Nothobranchius furzeri: one gene and its partners. The protein of the gene in region 1 interacts with the protein of each later gene in a pairwise test. Links are inferred from orthologs where the notes say so. Each region holds a gene or a part of one and is shown in the gene's direction. Other genes may lie near its edges.

Region 1 (4,194 bases):
TTCCTGATGCCAGGCTGCAGGCTCAGTTAATGAGCTGAGTCAGGGAGTCTGGTTTCTGCTTGGGTTTGGGGTTTTTTGTGGGTCTTGTGAGGAAAGGGTGTCTTTGCTGAGTTGATAGTGCTGCGGAGGGAGTGGTCGTCCTTTAAAAAGTTCAGAGTTTTCTGACAGAAACAATAAAAGATGCTTTTTTGGATGAGGTGTTGTTATAAAAAGTGCAAGCGTGAGGTGCCAGAGTCTTCTCGCTGGCACTAAGAGTCGCTCTGAAGAAGAAGACGTCACACTGTCATTTAACGTTCATAGACTCACCCATCTTGAATCGCCACGGGGACGGCTGTTGTAGGTTTAGCATCCAGGAAACAGCAGAGAACGTCTCAGCTAGTAGAAGCTAACTGTTAGCATTAGCAACTCCACCACATGGCAGAACTCCAAACAGCTTGTGTTATTAGTGGCGATAAAACGTCCATGTCGCAGAGCGAATGGAGTCATTCCTGACGTCTGAAGCTACTTTCTCCTCTGGCTAAATTATCCATGCTGAAACAGGCGCACCGGAGCTTTTTTTCCCCCAGAGTATGACTTACGAAGCGTTCATTTCTACTAAGAAATATGAGTGAAGGACCTCTTGAAAAAAGCAAATATTTCTTTTCACTTGCTCTTATTTTTTTCAAGAGGGTCCCTGTTGAACTTGAGTTCATTAGAGAACCCTGAGCGGCGCTCCCTGTCTGGGTGTATTCTCCCTAAATTATTCCTCCTTTTTTGTGGAGAGATGAAAGTTTCGGCGAGGACCTAATTGCTGTGGTGGAGCGGCGGTGCCATAAAAGCTCGCCGCTCCTTTTAACTCCAGGCCTGGTCTGAAGCGACTGGCTGCATTATACTTTTATTTCTTTTTTACACGTCTGCGTGAACCAGAGGGAGTGGGTCTGAGGACGTGATTCAGTCAGCCACTTGGTTTAAAAATACAGGGGGGGGCAAGGTCAAAGGTGAGCCAGACACAAGCTGCAGGTCAACAAAGGCCGTTTTCCATTTCTTACCCCTTATATGTGAATTCCTGCAGTTTCTGCTTCTGTTTGCTTGCCTTCTGCTCTAAATCTAACTTTTGTAGAGCAGCTCGGTCTCTTCTTCTCGTTGTTTTGCTGCTCTGGAAAAGTCAGGCCCAATAAGACAGAACCAGCAGGCCTCCATTACGTGTGTCTGGCTCAGAGCTGCAGGACTATTTACAGTTTTGTTCGACGCAGACTGGCAGAGTTAAAATTCACGGGACCACAGATGAGTTTCCGTACAATTGCTGCTGCTTTAAGTCCCACGAGCATCTGAATTGTGTCCAGCAGAGCCCACAAGAGCTGCTTTTAACAGGAATCATTTGAAAGGCAAATTAACCATATGTGTTTTCTTTGGAGGGGTTCTGGAAACACGAGGAAAACTGGATTGTTGTAGATTGATGGTGATGAAGCAGGAATTTGTTATTTCTCTCCTGCAAGTGTACAATCTGTTTTTGTCTTGACTTTAGTCCTTTTTCTCTAGTCTGGGATTGTTTTCCTTTCCACACACATCTAAATATAACTTTTATGATGCCAATATATTTACTGACTTTGGGAACTCAGTGATAAATAGCTGGAAGGGACAGAAAATGATGATTTTTCAGCTTTTCTGAGACTTTTGCTCCCCGTCTGGTGAAGTCAAAGCAGCAAATATCTTTTCAAACTCAGACAAATTAAATCCATGCTGGTCGTGTAAAAGCCGGCGTATTGTCCCGACACAGCTGCTGCAGTCAGACACACATGTGCTGCCGCCCATGAGTCCTTCCACCCACTTAAAGTATTCATAAACAACGACTGAACAATAAAACGTGACTGACAGCTCTGATTGTTTCTCTTAACTTTGCCGTTTCTTTCTCACCCTTGCAGCCGCACCTGCCGCAAAGCCTTTGCCTTGGTGTTTTTCATTTGTTTTTTATTTGATTCTTCTATTTTTGCTGCATATAAATCTGCCCCTGAGCACAGCAGAAACCTGTGTGGTGTTTGGTTTCAGAGTCCCAGGACGGGAATTACAAGCCAGACGTGAGCAGCAAGCCCAGGAAGGAGCGGACAGCATTCACCAAGGAGCAAATCCGAGAGCTGGAGGCTGAGTTCGCCCACCACAACTACCTGACCCGGCTACGGCGCTACGAGATCGCCGTCAACCTCGACCTCACTGAAAGACAAGTATGTTCCCGTGAGCTGCAGGTTGCCCCCGCCCCCAGGGTTTAGGCGTAGCTGAACCCTCCATTACCACATTAAGGCCATGTTGGGAAAACAGAAGCACCCTCGGAACTTTGAGGAGACTTTTCACTCGCTACCGTGTTTTGGCAACTTTGCTATGAGGGGTTATTGTGCTCCAGATGTGGCGGTGTCAGAGGACTATCATATTCCAGATGTTCCTGTCTATTCTTTCAGGGCCAGCCTGCAGTCACGACAGGGAGACGGGCCGGAGGAAGCGCTGTCTAGCAGGCCACTTCCTCTCTCACGCGACCTGTGCAGCTACAAATTGGTCTCCAAGCGTGGGACGCTCGCTTTCAAACGCAGGCAGACGAAATAAATAACAGGAGACAAATGGACGGAGGTGGGGGGGGGGGGGGGGGGGGGCGTAATGCTGGTTGATCTATGACACCTCTTTGGAAGCCGTACCTCAAAAGTAATTGACACCACGCCAGTGATTTTTGTACCATAGAGAATTGACAAAGAGTTTGGAAATGCTTCTGGAGTTTCAGGTGCTGCCTGAGAGTTTGATACCTCGCACACATTCAGGCAAAACAATATAAAAAGACAGGCCAAGACGCTTGCTCAAAAGCCTTTTGAGTCAGAAATACTTTTTATGGTTGTTTTTTGAAGATTAGGTTTACAGATGCCACTGCCAGCTATTGTTCTGCAGCAGAAATGTTTGCAACAGCTGCACCAATATACAAAAGAACAGACAGAAAGTCTTTATTGCAGCAGAATCACATAAACTCCCACAGCACAGTGGGTCTGTGAATGGTGCGGTCTTCCAAGAAGCCAACAAAACAAAACCTGTAGGGAAGATCAGTGACAGTTAGGATAGATGAAAACCAAAAACCTCACTTTTCTTGGATTGTAAACATGTTTCCTATAGGATTCCCACAATCTGCCAGCTTTTACAACGCTAAATCTACTAATGCTATAACATTTTGATTCACCCAATCACAAAAATAAAGACACACAGGGATTGAAGCAGTTAAAACATGATCCAGTATACTGTTGAATAATCTGAAGCTTATTTCAATTTCCAAAGAAGGCGTTTAAAGAGAAACTAAACAGTTTTGGCTTGCTTTTAGCACCCCCTAGTGCTTGTTAGTAAAAACCGAAAGTAAAACTTATCTCCTCGCTGTGCGTTTGTCTTTTTAACTCTTCATTTAACAGCTGAAATGTCTCACCAGCCTTACAAGAACAGTTCATCACTAAATTAAACAAATCAGCTGTGTTCATGATCTAAAACATACAGGAAACATGCTGGAAGCAGACTGCAGTGCCAGGCGCGCCAGCTCCACTTTACTAAGTCCAAAAGAGAGCGGCCTGCCACTCTGAAGTTGAAAGAGTGGTATCCTGGCCACTAGGGATGTAAGAAAATATCAAAATGGCAATACATTGTGATATTTCATCCTGTGATATTTAAAAGCCTTGTATCAAAATTTAGGAAGAATTAACATGCAAACATTTGTGTATTTTCTTTTCTTTTGGTGCAATTCAAACACCGACTGCTAGTTGGCATCAGTGTGCAATGGGTTTTGTTTTCCCCATTGAAATGTAATTCCCTCTATTATGGTTCCGATACCTCATGTTAAACATGTTAAGTATCAGTTCGGACTGTTTATTGATTTTTCCTACCATAAATTCAGTTTTAAAAATTCGCTAATATCGTCTGGCTGAATGCATCGCAATATATATCGTATCGTATCATCTCCCCTGTATCGTGATACGTATTGCATCACCAGAATGTCACCATTACACATCCCTAGCTACAGAGAGCAGTGGGTTCTGAGTGACTTTTCATTAACCCTGTAAAGGGTCATTTTAGCACATACTGGCTCAAGAAAATAATTTAAAAATATGAAAAAGTTACAAAATATCCCTTTAAACAATAAGCTAAAGTTTAGACTGAGGCCTAGTCCACACGTAGCTGGTTTTTTTTAAACGAATATCCGCC
Region 2 (4,863 bases), on another chromosome or scaffold:
CAAGGAGCTAAAACAAAGGATAAAAATCTCAATTAAAAGCAGAGAAAACATGATGAATACTAAGAGCACATTAAAACAATGACACAATAAAACTCTAAAACGAATCACTGTCTAAACAATGTCCCAGCCAGGTGATCTTAGTTTGGAAACTTGACTAAAATAAGTGTCAAGTAAAAAAAAAATGTATATAAACTATCTACAGCAAATGTGATGTGTTTAAAAGTCAAGAAGTCATTAAGCACACACCTGAAATTTGCATCAGCCTTCTGTTAATCAGCTTCATTTGTCAAAAAATAACTCTTTGGGAATCATCTTGTTTTTTTGTTGTTGTTTTTTTACGGAACATGCACTGCTCTGGGTGGCTGCATGTTGGAGTAGCTCTGTTGACTATATGTACGTTTTGCCTTTTCTTGGGCATTTTTTCTTCTAGTTTCTCAAGAAAAACTGTATTTTTTGGACACTTTACTTTTCTGTTTCTGGTGCTGTGAAGCTTGGAGGATTTTTACTGCTATTTTTTAGCTTTTTTCACTTTTTGAGTATTTGTTATGATGTGTAACCATGGCAACAGTCTGGTTTAAAATCAGGAGCAGCTGATTAACATTGGAAAGGCTGAAATAATACCCAAACTGAAGCCACAAATCCCAAATGAGCTAAAACGCAAGAAGCGTGGGTGCAGAGCGGAAGCAAAACGGAGACAGAGGAAAAGGAAATTCAAACCACCTCTTCCATCGATCATAATGGGCAGTGTGAGATCACTGGCCAACAAGATGGAGGAACTCCAAGCCCTTTCAAGGACTCAGCCAGAGTTTTGGCAGTTTCGGAACCACTGGAGGAGATAATGCAAAGAAGGATTCTCCATAGAATCAAGAAAATTATGGACAACCCTGAGCATTCTCTTCACAAGACTGTCCGACAACGGAAGAGTGTCTTCAGTCAGAGGCTTCTTCAGTTTCGCTGCAACACTGACGGCTACTGGAGATCCTTCCTGCCAACAGCCATTGTACAACTCTTTGACGACTTGATCATTATTATTATTCTGAGCTACTACAGCAATCAGTTTCCCTCTGGGATTATTAAAGTATTTTTAATTGAATTGAATTGAATGCTAAAATAATATTTTGTGTGTCAAACTTTGTTATAATTGGCATTTCTACTGAATCAATTAAAGAAATTTGAATATAGTTGTCGTGCCTACGATTAAACGTTAAAAAGACTCAGAAAAATGTTTATATATGTATGTATATATATATATATATATATATATATATATATATATATATATATATATATATAGATAGATAGATAGATAGATAGATAGATAGATAGATAGATAGATAGATAGATAGATAGATAGATAGAATTTTATTGGACAGAAATGTGTTGCAAACAGTAAAAGTCTGTAAAGAAAATCATAAAGTCTGAAAACAACAAGATTACAAAGTGGCTTTAAGATCACCTGGCTGGGACATTTAAACATTTTCCTACATTTAAATTTGAATTTCTGTTTCTTTTGTTACCTGAGAAGTACAACATGTCCCTGTGCAGACTGGGAAAAGCCCCAGGATGTAAATATAACCACAGACATAGACAATATATATGTCTGTGAATATAACCATATAAAGTAAAAGCAGTCGGTGTTTTCCTTTTTTTTCTTTTGTTCAAGCTGCGACAAATAAGAGGGGAGGGGCTTGTGTGAAACGTCATCAATGTGCTACGAACACCTGGAAGCGCAGCAAGATGTTTTACTGAAGTTCACATTGTTAATCACAATTTAGAGAAATAAAAACAACTGTTCCGTCACATTACGACGCGCCGAATTGTGTTGAACGGATCTGAAGATGAGTGGGAGCGAAAAACAAATGGTAAGGAAGCTGAAACGAGCCGTTCGGTTTGTTTATTTCCGATTTTTCTAGAAGTTTCCCGTCCGGGTAACCGTTACTCACCTTTTTTCCCTGAACTCAGGAGGACCCAGCAGCCCTGAAGGAGGAGGGGAACGCTCTCTTTAAGGCAGGAGACATGCAGGGCGCTGTCTGCTGTTACACCAAGGCGTTAAAGCTGACTGACAGCCGGGCTGACGGTGCTGTCCTCTACCGTAACCGCTCCGCCTGCTACCTGAAGCTGGAGGATTTCAGCAAAGCGGAGGCTGATGCCTCCAAAGGTCGGACACTTCTCTTTAATTTGCATAAATAAGAGCGCACAAGTTTCTATGGGGCCATGAAATCGCAGGGACATTTATGAAAGAGACTGTAGATCACCACACATAATAAATATAAAAAGTTACCACGCTAGGTATGTAAACAGTAGGTTATTTAGCAAAATACTCACAAGATTATATCTACTCAAGTAAAATTACTTATGTAAAAAATAAACAGTATAAGTACTGGCTTATTTTCGGTGTTTTTAGTGTTCTTTTTGTCTCATCTTGTATGCAGATCAGAAGTCTGCAGACTTTTCAGATCATCAAATAAAACACATTAACCAATCAGATTAAATAATGCATCAATACAACAGTTTTACTTGATTTTTAAAATAATTAAATTGACCAGTAAATTAAAGCTGTTTACCATTGCCATGGAAACAAATTAATTACTACATTTCCATTTATTTAGTCACACAGAACTCTGCTTATACAAACTGTCCTTTCGGCCTTTAAATTTGATAGTATTAATTTGCATTTAGCTGTTGCTACATCTTTGTGGGCATCACTATGTAACTGGACATCTCACAGTCTGGAAAGCAGATCATTTTGTGGCATGCCTGCCTTTTTCTGAACATGTAGCAGACTCGGTTTGAATCAAAACAATGTGAGATATATTAAATAAAGCCTTGCAAAATACATAAAAGTGAATTCATGGAGATTCCATTTTTCATATTAACAATACCCGGTACAGAGCCTCTACTACCTTCCCAAAACACTTGACAATTAGGAGATTATTGTTTGCTAAGGCTCATTATTCTGGGTATTGTACAAATCGTTCTTTGGTTGAAGCTTTTATTAGATGCACCACTTTAGTAAATGTTTCCAGGTGTTTTCCTTTGTTTGCAGCACTTGATTCTGACCCAGGCGATGTGAAAGCCAGGTTTCGGAGGGCTCAGGCTTTTCAGAAACTCGGTCGGCTCGACCAGGCTTTCCTGGATGCTCAGACGTGTGCGCAGCTCGAGCCTAAAAACAAAGCTTTTCAAGATCTGCTTAGACAACTGGGAACACAGATGCAGCAAAAGGTGATATGAAACTGATTAGGAGTTTTGTCTTGGAAGAAGCAGATGCTAATTTTAGCCCATGTTTGCAACCCTTTAGTCAGCTCAACTAAACTCCACAGATGCACGCGTGCAGCAGATGTTCTCCCTCCTCTTAGATGCTTCTGCTAAAGATTCAGATCGACAGAAGGTGCTAATTGCTCACTTCTCTGTAACTCTTGGTGTGTGTTTTATTGTCAACACTTACTAAATCAGTACAATACGTGCAACTTTTTAGGCAGCTCAGAATCTGGTGGTGTTGTCTCGGGAGGAAGCGGGAGCTGAGCAGATCTTCCGCAACGACGGGATGAAGCTAACTCAGAATCTTCTTCAGTCGAAGCAGGAGGACATTGTGCTTTCTGCTCTCAGGACATTAGTTGGTTTGTGCACGGGACATCAGTCGAGAGTAAGTGTCACCATCAGTGCGGCGTCTTTAAAGTTGTTTATTTGCAGCAGAGTGTTTGCTGATTTTCTTCTGTTGCCTTTTATTTCCAGACGATGGCGATAGTGAATGAACTGGGAATGGACCAGCTGTGTGCGGTAATGGGGTCAGGAGCTTCCACTGTGTCTTTGGCCGCCTGCCACCTCCTGCAGGTGATGTTTGAGGCTTTGACAGAGGGCATGAAAAGAGAGATCAGGGGAAAGGACGAAGCGATCCTTCCTGGTGAGTTTGACTATTTGCTTTTATAATAGGAGCTGGATCCGCTCAAAGCAGATCTACTGTATCATGTTTATAATCATATATTTGATTGTATCCATGTTTAATCTCCATCTGAATTCTACACAGAACCATCTAAGGAGCTGCGTTCAATGTTGCGCCACCTTCTAGAGATGATGCCTGCGCCCGATGTGTCAGGACCGGGCAGGGACAGTGCCATCAACCTCCTTGTTAAACAAGTTCCCCGCAAGTCTTTGAAGCATCCTGACAACTCTCTTGCCTTATGGGTTATAGACCAAGGTAGGAAACTCACCTGCATGCGGTCGTGTGTTCGTCTCATCCTCGTGCATTTACGGTCACAAAAATGTGGAATGTGGTGCCTAATCTCATGCAGGGCTGAAGAAAATCCTGCAGGTGGCTGGGACTGTTCCTGAGCTCTCAGAGGGACCCCCTCTTACGGACAACACTCACATGAGCTGCTCCGTGCTGCTAAGCAAACTCTACGATGACCTGAAGAGTGACAAAGAGAGGGAGAACTTCAGCAAACTGTGTGAAGAGTATATTCAGTAAGTTATTTACAAAAAATATTTCTAGGAGCCTTAATCCACCCCAAATTAAACTCTTAAAATTAATTGTTTTCTTTTTCTGAACAGGCAGCACTTTAGCCAGCATGGGCTGGAAGGAAAGCTGCGTGCCATCCAGACCGTGTCGGTGCTCCTCCAAGGTCCGAGTGACGTGGGGAACAGGACTCTGGAAATGTCAGGAATGATGGATGCTGTGATCTCTCTCTGCGCTTCCAAACATGTAATTCACCAGCAGATAGCGGTGGAGGCTCTTATCCACGCGGCGGGCAAAGCCAAGCGAGCGTCTTTCATCACAGCCAATGGCGTGGCCCTTTTGAAGGACCTCTACAAGAAGAGTGAGAATGATCGTATCCGTGTGAGAGCCCTTGTGGTAAGTGTTGTCGA
Region 3 (4,716 bases), on another chromosome or scaffold:
AATAAACGAGTGTCTAATCGTGCTGCAGACACATGTCGTCAGTAATTTGGCACTTCAGTGCATCTTAGTTAAAATTTAAATATTCTGACTAAAACTGGCAGTGTTGTGCCGTTGTCAGGTAAAAACTCTGCACTGTATTTTAATTTAAATCTGCCACTGCTATTGGCTAAGAAGTATGCTATGATGTAAACTGGTACATTATGATGTCACAATGCTGTTGTGAGCCTGAGTGTGTGTTTGTTAGCGGCTCCGCCCTCACGGTCTGCCAGGCAACAGCACGTGTTGCATTTTTCAAACATGAAGTGGGAGTGGAGTTAGACTCTGGTAGGGGTTGACTTGCTCTTTAAATAACTGATGTAAATGTAAAAATTCTCACCCTAAACTTTTGTTTCTAGAACAGTAAGAACTTGGTTCACTCGATCTAAAGCTGTGGAAGTTTTAGCAACAAATAACAACAAGCTGTCTAGCTCTCGCAGACGCAAGGGTATTTAAAAATCTTTGGGATTTTTCAATTAAATATTCCTGACAGATTGCATAATTTACATATTTTGTGGTAAATGTGTAAGTTTTAGACTCTTATTATGAAGGACTGAAGGAAGTTATTTAAGTTCCCCAGTCGATTGCACATCAGATTCAATAAAATGCTCAATTTCTATGTATGTAAATGTAAAAACACAACCATAACCACAATCACACACAAAACAAAAGTTTCCTGCTTTTCCTCCTACTGGTTGAAAGCGGTTTTACCAGGACTGCCAACACACACTGAGCATAAGACACACACATCATCTGACCCTCTTCACATGCTCTCACCCCCCCCCCCCCCCCAACAATATTTCATGCCGAAGAATCGAAAGAAACTTGTCGATCCATTTTCTGTTGGTAACTGGTTTTAGGAGTCATGTGCCTAAAACAAGTGGTTTCAAAAAGTCTCTGTTTGTGATGTCACAAATAGGGAAATTAAATAGAATAGAGCAACAGGTACTACAAGCTCTTCTGGATATAGGAGCTTCTCATAGCAGCCTGATCAGGGATGGGTGGGCGTGGCCAGCTTCTGCTTCTTTTCATAAAGTGAAAGAACACTGAAACTGCTTATGCTAGAAGGTACTGAAACTGTCAAGAATAAAACTGCTGAAATTGCTTAATGTGAGAGAGATTTTGTGCAAAGAACTTCACGATAAAAAAGTTATAATAAGTCCCTTTTAAAGCCTGAAGGATTTGCCTACTGTCTCTGCAGATTGTTTGGTAATCTGCTGTTGCAAGCATGGATTTTTTTAAATTAGCTTGTAAAATTATTTGTTTAAGCAGAAAAATGTGTGTCCTGTATGTGTGCGTGATTTTGCACAGCAAACATGTAAGGCTTTGATGGGTCTCACAAATACTATAACCATTTCCCTCTTGGGAACAATAAAGCCCTTTACTACATTTTAATCCACAATCTAATCCTAGTAAATTATTAATGTAAATGTCAGCAGAACTGTGGCTATATCTTAATCTAATGACGTAATGATGGTGGTCAGCTTGTTATCTGCATCCTCCAAGGCTGAATTTTGGCTCCCTGCTACTGCGGGCTGTTTTGGAATGACGTCATTCCGCAGCGGAGCCACCGGATTGGCTGGATCACTGGGCGGAAGGTGCGTCTGTTGTCCCAGCTGTGTGCTGAAAACAAAACAAGACAAGCTGCGACTGGTGAGTGCTCGGGTACGGCGGGCTTTGCCCTACGCTGTTATGAAATGACTACAGTAAATATTCACCGTCGTCTCTGTATCCGTGTGGCCGCGGTCAAACGCTCAGAAACGGCTGCTTTGTTGCCGATAGTTCGGAGCTGTGTGGCTGTGCTTTTTCTCCTCCTCCTTGTGCTGAGCTCACATGATATGAGCTGTTATGCAACACGCAGATACTCCAGCCTGCCTCTGCTATTGTTTTGCTGCAGTAACGCTGCAAAGACTCGACCGCGTTTTGCACTAACGGCTTCCACGTTTTCGAGCTGCTGGTGATGCGCACGCGCGTTTAAAGGCCTTATTTCACAAATACGATCAACAAAGACGCACCTCCTCCTACGTGAGCTTTATCAATGCCATTTTGCTGCTGGACTGTAGGGTGACATCAGCCTGCAACATGAAACAGAAATAAATTTAAAAAAAAAAGGATGAAAATGATGGAAAATCTCATGATATTTTTAAAAAAAATTGTTGGGTTTGTTTGATACTATAAGGTTGATCAGTTTCCGGGATGGTTTGGCTCTCTTGGGTTAAAATAAATTTTATAAATAGGAGTGTTTGTTTTGGTTAATCGTACCTGATCTGGATAACGTCTTCTAATGTAGAAATACTCAATAAAATGCTATGTGAGTCTTCACGAAAGACAATTACATAGATGAATCAATAAATAGGCAAACAGAAGGAATGTTTTAGTTTATCCTTTCAGATTTATAAAACATAACTAGTGATCATATATAGACGATGTGTTTCACTTGTGTTTCAAATAAACTCCTATATTACCATGCTGTCGTTCTTTTTTTTTTTAAACACAGAAACAGTTTCGTTACCTGTTTTTCCACTACGTTTCGTCTGCGGCTGCAGACTTCCTCAGGCTGACGCTGATGGAGGCGTCACTTCCTTCTCTGTTTATCCGCGAGCAGCAGAGGACGTTGTCGCCCTCTGCTGCTCGCTCTCCCCTCTCTGACGATGCAGTCCCATGCGCGGTCCAACGTGTAAACTCCATCGTCCCTGTTCATGGTCCCACATCCACGTCTCCTTATCTCGATTGCTTCTTTAATCCATCTTTTGTATTTTTGTTGTTTGTTGTTTATGATCCGTGTGTTGTCCCAGTCCATTATATGGTTTTCTCTTATGCAGTGATCTGTTACGGCTGACTTCTTTATTGTGCTTTCTGCTTCTTCTTTTGCTGCTCTCGTGTGTTTTCTACTTGCCTCTTTCTCACACTCCTTTCTATGTTTTATTGTTCGTGTGTTGGGTTGTCGTCCGATTTCTACGATGTATACGAATGTTTACGAAATCCCATGCAAACTCTGCAATAAAACATACATAGAAGCAATCGAGATAAGGAGACGTGGATGTGGGACCATGAACAGGGACAATGGAGTTTACATGTTGGACCGCACATGGGACTGCATCGTCGGAGAGGGGAGAGCGGGCAGCAGAGGGCGACAACGTCCTCTGCTGCCCGCGGATAAACGGAGAAGGAAGTGACGCCTCCATCAGCGTCAGCCTGAGGAAGTCTGCAGCCGCAGACGAAACGTAGCGACAAAACAGGTAACGGAACCGTTTCTGTGTTTTAAAAAAAGAACGACAGCATGGAATTAGAACCACGACACAGCAAGAACTCACCTAATATGAACTCCTATATTAGTTTGCTTGTGGAGTATAAGTGTTTCTTTTGTGGTGTTTCTGTTTCCAGCATCATGATGGATGAGCTGGTGCAGGACCTGGTTTCTGCACTGGAGCAGGCCTCGGAGCAGAGCAAGCTCGGGGAGCTGTGGGAGGAGATGGTCATAAGTCCGCTGCAGCATCGCCGGCAGATCCGCCGCCGACGGGGTCGTAAACGCCTTCACGAGTCCTCCGTGTACCCGACGGCACGTAGACGATGCTGGATTGAGGCCTCTGAGTCCAGCCTGGATGAAGCTAAAGATTACAGAGAGAACCTGTCCTCTTTAAATGCATCTGTGGCCAACTACAGCGACTCAGACGATGAAACTACAACTGACCACTGGCCTTGTGTCATTAGAAGCCCCGTCCGGTCGAGGCATCCCTCCTGGCCTGAGTCTGATTCCTTCACTGAGAGTAATCCGGGGCAGCCACTCAGGAGGCGCAGGAAGGTCAAGCGTATGACCCCAGATGTGAGGGTGAGATTTCAGCAGAAATTACACGTGAGGAACAATGGGAAGAGGAGGCAAAGGCCAACTAAGGTGCAGCGTCTGTCAGGATCGAAGAGGAGGTCGAGTGGATGGATGGGAGCAGAGAAACAGACTGAAGGAGGCAGACTGATGGGAAACGAGTGCTGGAAGAGAAAGATGGGCAAAGAACACAGAGATGCTGCGGACGAAAACATGTCTGATGGGTAATGTCATCACTTTTAGACCGCATTATAAGTTAATAACAGAAATGTATTAAAAGTACTTTCAAATGGAACATTTTTTAAAAGTGACCAAAAAAACAATACTGCTTTTCCTTGAGCTACTTGTCGATATTTAGCATAAGTTTCTAACAAGACAGAAAAAAGCAACAACCCTATTATCTTAAAGTGCCGATTTGGCATTAAAAATGAATGATGGTCTCTAATCTCTTATATCTGAAATGATCATCAGGGAGGGCATCTTTGATAGCTCTGCCCTCGGGCGTCTGAGAGCTCATTATTTCCTTTTGAGAACTATTGTCACAAATAAATTAGTGACTTGGTGAGGTATTGATTTGTTTTGAAATATATGCCCGTCTTTGGCTGGGTAATTAAAGCTGTGACTGTCCCACAGTCCCAGCTTTCACCCTCCTGTGTGCATTTCATTTAGCAAACCTAAATGTGGCTTTAACTTACAGAGAGGGACAATATATTATTACAGTGAAGCAATCAATGCAATACACACTCAGTACGTTGATAGAAAGGTAAGTCACTGCATGAAACTCCATTAGAGTAAAGCGCTGCAATGAGAATTTGGATGCCTTAACATCAGATTACAAATGATAATCTGTGTAGATTTAC
Region 4 (3,740 bases), on another chromosome or scaffold:
AAACAACAAATTCCAGCGTTTGAGTGACTTGAAGCCCAGTAAGAGTCTGCTAGTAACGGGTTCTGGTTAACTCGGGTTAGCGCTCACTAACCCAGACCCTTTAGAGAGTGTCTGCTAGCATCTGAGTTCTTAGGCTAATTCTGCACCTTCGCTGTCGTAGTCGTGCAGAAAAGCTTCGATCTTCGCGACCTTCGGGTTGTTCTTCTGCTGCCTGGTGGTTCTCTTCCGTGGAGCCATGTCAGCGCGGAGTGGAAGGATTTAGTCCAGAGAGTCTGAAACCGTTTCACAGAAGATAAGCTTTAGCTAAAAGAGCAGGCACGAGGACGTTATCCGCTGACTGCGCTAGCTAGTTATTTAGCATCAGGGCTTCGCGCGGATTTTTCTACCGACCATTTATTCACACATCTTATAAAATTGATAAAACATCACTTTAATCCGATTTATCAGCCTTAAATTAGAGAAAAGTCACCTGCGTTTCTTTTGCCGCTTACTTCTTCCTACTAGACGTTTTAAAATTCTGCGCTGGGACACGTCAGCCAATGAGGACGTACGTTTTTACTGCGTCACAACACTGAGGCGTTTACCAGCGCTTGGCAAACGTGCATTACTGCCATCACGTGGCTTGGGGTGTAGTAACAGTCACGTTATTAGGGTACTCGGTGACAACAGCCATATGTACATAAATGTTTATGTGTTGTATTTATGTTTATTATATAAACATAAATGTTTATATATACATATCTATGGCAACAGCTGTCTCTGTGGCTCGCGCTGCACGCAGAGCTCTGACGGAAACTTTGTTTCACCAACAAACGTTCCGTTCTTCCTCGTTGTGAGTTTCTATTGGATCAATATCTTTATGAATTGGTCCTTGATCGGGACTTAAAGAACAGCTAAATATGAATAGGTGTGTGTAGGTTTTGACTTACGTGTTATAAACAGGAAGATTGTTACTGAATGATTAATGTGTTCATTCTATCATTTTCTTTTACAAGAACAAAGTTTACTGAAGCTCATTCTTTCATTTCAGTAGTTTTATTCCGTTTGTAAAACTGAACATTGTTAAATGTAAAGGGTGGAAAATAAACGCTGTGGTCTTTAACGTGTTTAAGCGCCATTAAAACTGTGTTTATTATTTATTAACAGGGTGTACGTTATGTTCCGACACGCACTGCTGTCTTCATGGATAAATAAAAACATTCCTAACTACTGGATCTTTTCCATGCTACGTTCACTGACAACGTATAAAGTAGGAATTTCCTACACTTGTTACATAAAACATACTTTTGAACTGTAGCCGTAACTTTGCTGAATTCCGTGTTTGTCAAATGACGTAATCCTGTCTTTAGACTATATAAAACATTAAAATTGCATCATTTAGAATTACTGCCGACTACAAATGAATCACAGGACTAGAGTTTAGATCACCCTAACGACTGCACCCCCCACACGTGTTGTTTATATGGTCAACGGTGATGGAGTTGAAATGGAGCTCGAGTGAGAGCTCGGACTTCTGAGGTGCCCTGAACGCATCATAAGTCATTGTTTACATCCGGAGACCGGAAGCGGGCTCTAGACGTGAGCTGCCGCGTGGAGACGTGCGTGAAGTAGGAACGGGTTCGAGCAGGAGAACCGGAGCATGTCCGAGCCGCTGCAGGAGGCGCTGAGGAGGAGCTTCGTGAGTCTGGAGAAGCAGCGGGAGGTCTGGAGGAGCGTGTTGGAGGAGTGCAGCCCGCTCATGGAGGCTCTGGGGAACCTGGCGGAGCAGATGAGCGCGCTGACCCGCGTCCAGCTGCTCGACACGCCGCTCCGAGTCTTCCCGCAGCTGGAGGAGCTGCTGCGGGTCAAGCTGCTGCAGGCTGCGGACACGGTGCTCCAGAGGCTCGGTGAGAACATGTGAGTCAGAGCCCTCAGAACCACGCTGGCGGGAAATAAACGTACGTCAGCGTTAGTTATTGTCATCAATAATCGGAGCTTCGGGGTGATACTGACATCTAGTGGTCAGAAGTAGAACAACACCCGTTCCAGGGTTATGATGGAGCGCATGCGCGTTGGCTATCCATCTTAGCTGGACGTTATAACTATGATCCACTTACTTTTTAATTGTTTCTCCCATTTTATTCTCATCTTTTTAGTTATTTATTGTGAAGCAGCTCGTGACCCATCTTCTGACGGTCCATGTGTTGTGTTCCTCCTCCAGGTGCCGTCTGCAGTCCATCAGAGATTCCATCAGTAGCCAGGCCTCTGCTCTCCTGCAGCAGTACCAGCAGAGTTCTGTGGACCTGACGATGCTGACGGAGCGCTCGGCCACCGTCCCGTCTCTGGCCGACATGCTGCAGTGGATCCAGGACGCTGAGCGCTTCTACAGGCAGCAGTATCCTTCCTGTGGGCCTCCTGGCATTCCCGTTATCCTGCTGTTGTCGTTTCCCTGAACTCATCTTCAGATTCCTACAGAGGAAAGCTCTGCTGCAGACGCTGAGGCCGGACCAACTCCTTCTGCTGGAATCTGCTCCCAAAAGGTGGAAATCTCTGGAGTCTCCGAGTGCCGATCAACAGATCACAGGTGAGTCGTGACACGTGGACCAGAGCCCACCCCCATGTTCAGGTCTCCCAACGGTCCGATTTGCTGGATTTTGTCTCTTTTCAGATTCACTCTGCAGACTCTCTCTCTTCATCCAGCCTCAGTGAGCTAGCGAGGGTTCGCTGACCCGACCCGACCCGACCCGAGGACACAAGACGCTTCCAGCTCTTAATGTCAAACGCTTTTATTTGAAAACCAGAAGTTTGTGTGAAGATCTGGAGAGATTACAGCCTGCACCGCACACGCTAACAAGCTAGCACGCCAAATAGTTCAGTCTCTGTCACACACACACACACTCACACACACACACACACACACTCACACACACACACACACACACACACACACACACTCTCACACACACTCTCACACACACTCTCACACACACACACACACACACACACTCTCACACACACACACACACACACTCACACACTCACACACACAGTCCTGTGTGTAAATAAATAAATAAATAAAGGGTCACTCTGTTAGTGGTACCCCCCCCCCTAGACGTACTCCTTCAGAGGGACGTTGTTGGAGATGATGGGTTTCGGTGGTTCCGGTGCGGGCGAGTTGGCGAAACTCCGGCCGACGTAGCCGCGACGGTACCGGCCGCCCCGCTCCATCAGCGGACAGGTGCTGCTCAGCACGGCGCCGCTGATCATCAGGATGACGGCGGCGGCCCAGCCCAGGTAGATGGCCTGACCCAGCTCCCGCTTGTGCATGACGGGAACGTTGGGGTTGTAGAAGTCCTGGACCACCGTGTTGGCGGTCCAGGAGACCGGGATCAGAACACACAGGCCGGTGACGATGAAGAGAATTCCTCCTGCCAGCGCGATTCCCGCTTTGGCCCGGCGGTCGTCTCCGGCGCAGGTGGTGCACTTCATTCCGCAGCAGGACACGGTGCAGGACAGCCAGCCCATGAAGATGGCGAGGCACATGAGGGCGCGAGCGGCCTGGATGTCCGGCGGCAGCGCCAACATGGAGTCGTAGGTCTTACACTGCATGTGACCCGTGGTCTGGTAGATGCAGTTCATCCAGATGCCCTCCCACTTCATCTCCGACGTCAGGATGTTGCTGCCGATGAAAGCCGACACCTTCCACTGAGGCAGCGCCGTGACGGCGATCGCCATGATCCAGCCCGTCACCGCGCACGTGA
Region 5 (4,943 bases), on another chromosome or scaffold:
CAAAGCTCTGCCGGAGGTGGGAGTTGAAGACCGTCTTAACAGGTTCTTCTGCCAGGCGTTCCCAGCAGACCCTCACTATGCGTTTGGGTCTGCCAGGTCTACACGGCATCTTCCCCTGCCATCTGATCCAACTCACCACCAGGTGGTGATCAGTTGTCAGCTCTGCTCCTCTCTTCACTCCGGTGTCCTAAACATACGGCCGCAGGTCAGATGATATGACTACAAAGTCTATCATTGACCTGCGACCTTGGCTGCCCTGGTACCAAGTGTACCGGTGGGCATCCTTATGTTCGAACATGGTGTTCGTTATGGCCAAACTGCGGCTTGCACAGAAGTCCAATAACAAAACACCGCTCGAGTTCAGATTAGGTGGGCCGTTCCTCCCAATCACACCCCTCCAGGTCAAGATGTCATTGCCCACGTGAGCATTGAAGTCCCCCAGCAGGACAATGGAGTCCCCTGATGGAGCACTATCTAGCACTCGTCCCAGGGACTCCAAAAAGGGTGGGTACTCTGAACTGATATTTGGCCCATAAGCACAAACAACAGTCAGGACCCGTTCCCCGACCCGAAGGCACAGGGAAGCTACCTTCTCATCCCCCAGGGTAAACCCCAACACACAGGCAGAGAGACTTGGGGTTAACAAAAAGCCAACCCCAGCCCTCCGCCTCTCACCCGGGTGCAACTCCAGCAAAGGAGAGTGTCCCACCCCTCTCAAGGACTTGGGTTCCAGAGCCAATGCTATGTGTCGAGGTGAGTCCGACTATATCTAGCCGGTACCGCTCAACCTCTGCCACAAGCTCCTGCTCCTTCCCCGCCAGTGAGGTGACGTTCCATGTCCCAAAGTCCAGTTTCCTTGTCCGGGGATCGGACCACCAAGGCTCCCACCTTGGTCTGTCACCCGATCCACACTGCACCGGACCCTTCATGCTCCTCCTGCAGGTGGTGGGTCCACAGTTGGATGAGCCCATGTATCCGGTTCGGGCTGGGCCCGGTCAGGCCCCATGGGCGAAAGCCCGGCCACCAAGCGTTCGCTCACGGGCCTCAACCCCAGGCCTGGCTCCAGGGTGGGACCCCGGTAAGTTAACCCTCCGGGCCGGGTACTCCGACTCTTTGAATTTACATCCATGAAAGATCCTTTGAACCTTTCTTTGTCTCACCCTTCACCTAAGACCAATTTGTCATGGGAGACCCTACCAGGGGCACAAAGTGCCACAGACAACATAGCTCCTAGGATCATTAGGGCACTGAAACTCCTCCACCACGATAAGGTGACGGTTCAAGGAGTAGTAGGTAATATTGAATAAACTAATTTAGTTATAACGTTTTATCAGCAGGCGTGTGTAATTTCTAATCAAATATATTATATCTATAAAAAAACATCCGAAAGTGAATTTCCAAAAAACAAGTACAACTATCACCAAGAAAGAAATGAGAATGAGGTAAACATGTTTTTAACAAATGAAATAAAAAAGGAACAAAAGACGAATAGAATTTTTAAGAGTAGAAAACCAAAATGAAAATGTGATTTTATTCTATTTTTACCATTTTTTCCCCTTGCCTTATTTATTATGATATATTTTTTGCCATGTTTATTTATTTTTAAGCTCTTTATTTCTGTTAGTCTGGATTCAGGCGAATATGGTTATATTCATTAATAATTTTTTTTTCTTTATGTGTGTGTGTGTGTCAAATTCAGAAAAAGGAAACAAAAACTAAGTAACAATTTATTTGAGTGACTATGATAGAAACTACAAACAAAAAGACGTAAGGACGTCGGTCCCACTTCCGGTGTCGTACAGCTACTGCGGCGGATGTTGATGTTTTGTTAGTAGCTCGCCTCGGACAGCGATGGGAGCTACTTGATATTTTTGTGGTCATCCTCTCTGTTCAGTGCGCGTTTCTCTGAGAGGTTTCCGTGGTTCTCGGTGTCGTTTCTCTCCCGGTGTCTTTACCGGGGTGAGATCGAGTCGGGAGATGATGGAGGACTTTGATGAGATCTACGAAGAGGAGGAAGAAGAAGAGGACGAGGACAGGGCCGCGGAAGAGCAGCTCCTCAAGTATGCTCCGGACCCGGTGGTGGTGCGAGGCTCCGGCCACGCTACTGTGTAAGCTACCGGCGGGACTGGCGGGGATCGTTCCCGGTAAAAGACAACTTGTCGGGGTGTGAGGGGAAACTTGCGGACTAGCTGGTGACTTAGCCGAGTTAGCTAGCTGCTAACAACTGGCTACAGTGAGCAGTTAGAGGACGGCGGTGAAGAGTTTGTTTTGTTTTCTCATCGTGAATTCACCATAATAATTGTGTTATTTTAGCCACTGACAAGTCAGCCCGCTGTTGATACCAACGGCACTCTTTGTCGAGCATTCAGCATTGTTTTTTAATTATAAAAACAAAGTTACTGTGGTTAACTATATTTACTAACGTCCGTTTCATTCCTCATATGTAACAGCTGGACTCAGTTTCCCGAATCTTGTCTCTTCCGGTCAGACTTTTTCGAGTTTAGACGGTTTACACATAAAAAATACTAGATGATACTGTTCACCCAAGCTGCTCCATCTTCTTGGTGTAGATATTCTGAAGCATCTAAAATGTACCTTTTTATGCTGCAAGAGTTTAAAACCTGGCCTAAATTATTTATTTTCTTTCAAATATCTTAAACATTCTGCCAACCCTTTCTAGATGTATAGTCAGTATCTCCAGGCTTTTTGAAGTGGTCTCAAGGTTACTTTAAGGTGCCTTTTCACCAATTTGCTGCCAACTTTTTTGTCCAAAAATAAGCCGCCCTCTGGATTTCAGATCTAGAATCAGTGCAGTTGGTCAGGCCTAGGTTCAGCAACATCATGTGCCCCAAGAATGAGGTCTGCTGAACTTACTGAATAATCAGATTAATCCATCAGTGGGGTTTTTCTTCCCTGATGGCATGTTCCCAGATAACAGTGCCAGGAGCCATCAGTCTCAAACTGTGGAAGAGTGGTTCAGGGAGCACGAGACACATGGATCGTCCACCGCAGAGCCCAGACTATAACATCACTGAGTCTCTGGGGTATGCCAGAAAAGGCTTTGTGCAGCGGTTGGACTCTCAAGGTCTTGGTGGAAAAATAATGCAACACTGTATGAAAAGAAAAACTTGTAAATAAGTGAAGTTAAACATCTGAACAAAGATTGCAATAACCCGAGATGGAGAAAAGATAACTTGTCTGCTTGTTTTGTTCCTGTTTAAATGAAGAGATCAGCTGTGTATCGAATGTGGCAAAAGAATATACTTCACACCACCAGAAACAACATAATGCGGTACTAAAAGCCAGATCAAGACTGAATTTAAGTAGAAAACTCACCCAAGACACATCCAGTGTTATCGCAACATCTTGTTCCATCAGAATGTAGGCGGTTAAAAACTGCTGCCACCTAGCAGACGGAGTGAACTACGCCACACAAACAAATTACAGTAAATGTTTGCATGTAAATTCTCAGTAGAAATCGATACACAGCATTTAATTATTGATTCAGTATCATAAAACAGAATATCACAATATTTCAGTTATATAATCCCTAACATAATCTCTGTTATGTTTACATATTGTATAAAAGCAGAGGCTATGCTGTGAACTGGTTTGTGAATCAGCTGATCTTGTTCTTGTCATTTTCTCTTTTAGTTACAAATTTAGAATCACATGAACCTTCATCCTGCTGTTTAAAGCAAACTAAACCGTAATCGTATGATCAGCTATGCCGTGTTGAGCTTATTTCACTTTATCTGTAGGTTTTCAGTTTAACTCGTAAAACTTCTTTCCGGAGTATTTCTCTTATCCGATGGCTCCATCTAGTGGCTCACAAGCATATCACACAAAAAAATCTGTTGCTCTGTTTAAGATCGCAACTTCACGTATAAATGTGCATCTGTAGCCGACAAACAGATCTAAAACACGTTGTTTTACGAGTATTATTCTCATGTCATGTTGTGTTCTCATATATTTATATTTTAGAGACTTACTTGTCCATGGAAAGTTCATCATCTCTGCATCAGCCGAGGTATTCCTTAAATTTGATGCAAGTAAGAGGTAGTCTAACGCTGTTGGTTAGTTCTGATCGGCACTCAGTTTCCTATTGCACGGAGCTCTGCGGGGCAGGGGGCGTGCTTGGCAAAGATAAATAAATAAATAAAAGACACATTGCTTACATTTTATCACAGTACATGATGAGACAACCGCTTTTATGGATTTCTGAAAAATCATACATCATTTCTGAAAGCGGAAAACTCCAGAAAGCAGCTTTAAAAGGGATGTAAGAAAATATCGATATAACAATGCCATACCATACCAATTTATTTATAAAGCACCATTTCAAAATAGCATGGCAGCTAACCAACCTGCTGTACAGAAAAGAGCCAAATGCTTGAACAAATCAACAAAGCACAATGAAAGCATGAAAATCAGGTAAAATACATAAAAACATAGCATAAATAATCAGGGATAAATATTCCTACTAAAAACAATAGAATAAGAGAGCAGTTAACTGCACTATCAAAAATAAAAATTAATGCGATGAATGATAAAAAACATTTGAAATGGCACAAATAAAACCAAAGACGCTACAAGATTGTGAAAGGTGTTAAAAGTAAGCTACTGAATCATAAAACCTAAATTGAGAAAAATAAACTCGGTGCTGGATTTTCACGTATATCGTGATATTTTTTCTTTTGACATTACAGTGATATTCAAAAGCCATGTATCTAACTTTTGGAAGAATTTACTTGCAAACATTTGTGTATTTTCTTTTCTTTTGGTGCAGTTCAAACGCCAACCACTAGTTGGCAGCAATGTGCAATGGGTTTTGTTTCCACCATGGAAATGGAAATCTCTCTATTGTGGTTCATATACCTCATGTTTATGTGTTTAGCAGACACTTTTTTCCTAAGCGACTGACGCCGGGGACACACCGGCTG

The links.
Region 2: the proteins of meox2a (region 1) and unc45a interact in binary tests that used the Homo sapiens proteins (3 or more experiments, as listed by UniProt). The two-hybrid records come from large-scale screens. The link is inferred for Nothobranchius furzeri from reciprocal best matches to the Homo sapiens genes MEOX2 and UNC45A.
Region 3: the proteins of meox2a (region 1) and G patch domain-containing protein 2-like interact in binary tests that used the Homo sapiens proteins (3 or more experiments, as listed by UniProt). The two-hybrid records come from large-scale screens. The link is inferred for Nothobranchius furzeri from reciprocal best matches to the Homo sapiens genes MEOX2 and GPATCH2L.
Region 4: the proteins of meox2a (region 1) and airim interact in binary tests that used the Homo sapiens proteins (3 or more experiments, as listed by UniProt). The two-hybrid records come from large-scale screens. The link is inferred for Nothobranchius furzeri from reciprocal best matches to the Homo sapiens genes MEOX2 and AIRIM.
Region 5: the proteins of meox2a (region 1) and chic2 interact in binary tests that used the Homo sapiens proteins (3 or more experiments, as listed by UniProt). The two-hybrid records come from large-scale screens. The link is inferred for Nothobranchius furzeri from reciprocal best matches to the Homo sapiens genes MEOX2 and CHIC2.

The regions. Positions count from the first base shown.
Region 1 is NC_091745.1:64,687,442-64,691,635, reverse strand, and holds part of meox2a (homeobox protein MOX-2), read left to right. Parts: intron 1-2,025; coding exon 2,026-2,198; intron 2,199-4,194. UniProt on the Homo sapiens protein: Mesodermal transcription factor that plays a key role in somitogenesis and somitogenesis and limb muscle differentiation. Required during limb development for normal appendicular muscle formation and for the normal regulation of myogenic genes.
Region 2 is NC_091744.1:74,263,124-74,267,986, reverse strand, and holds the start of unc45a (protein unc-45 homolog A), read left to right. Parts: upstream 1-1,700; 5' UTR 1,701-1,838; coding exon 1,839-1,862; intron 1,863-1,962; coding exon 1,963-2,158; intron 2,159-3,046; coding exon 3,047-3,222; intron 3,223-3,298; coding exon 3,299-3,388; intron 3,389-3,475; coding exon 3,476-3,643; intron 3,644-3,732; coding exon 3,733-3,901; intron 3,902-4,024; coding exon 4,025-4,195; intron 4,196-4,289; coding exon 4,290-4,461; intron 4,462-4,548; coding exon 4,549-4,849; intron 4,850-4,863.
Region 3 is NC_091758.1:32,642,551-32,647,266, forward strand, and holds the start of G patch domain-containing protein 2-like, read left to right. Parts: upstream 1-1,553; 5' UTR 1,554-1,689; exon of another isoform or gene 1,690-1,701; intron 1,702-1,725; exon of another isoform or gene 1,726-1,742; intron 1,743-3,420; 5' UTR 3,421-3,424; coding exon 3,425-4,080; intron 4,081-4,716.
Region 4 is NC_091759.1:26,720,425-26,724,164, forward strand, and holds airim (AFG2-interacting ribosome maturation factor), read left to right. Parts: upstream 1-1,530; 5' UTR 1,531-1,639; coding exon 1,640-1,896; intron 1,897-2,200; coding exon 2,201-2,374; intron 2,375-2,444; coding exon 2,445-2,563; intron 2,564-2,647; coding exon 2,648-2,688; 3' UTR 2,689-2,877; downstream 2,878-3,740. Other genes in the region: cdca8 (borealin), read right to left, coding at 147-237; cldn35 (claudin-4), read right to left, coding at 3,088-3,740. UniProt on the Homo sapiens protein: Part of the 55LCC heterohexameric ATPase complex which is chromatin-associated and promotes replisome proteostasis to maintain replication fork progression and genome stability.
Region 5 is NC_091747.1:75,930,339-75,935,281, forward strand, and holds the start of chic2 (cysteine-rich hydrophobic domain-containing protein 2), read left to right. Parts: upstream 1-1,780; 5' UTR 1,781-1,977; coding exon 1,978-2,108; intron 2,109-4,943.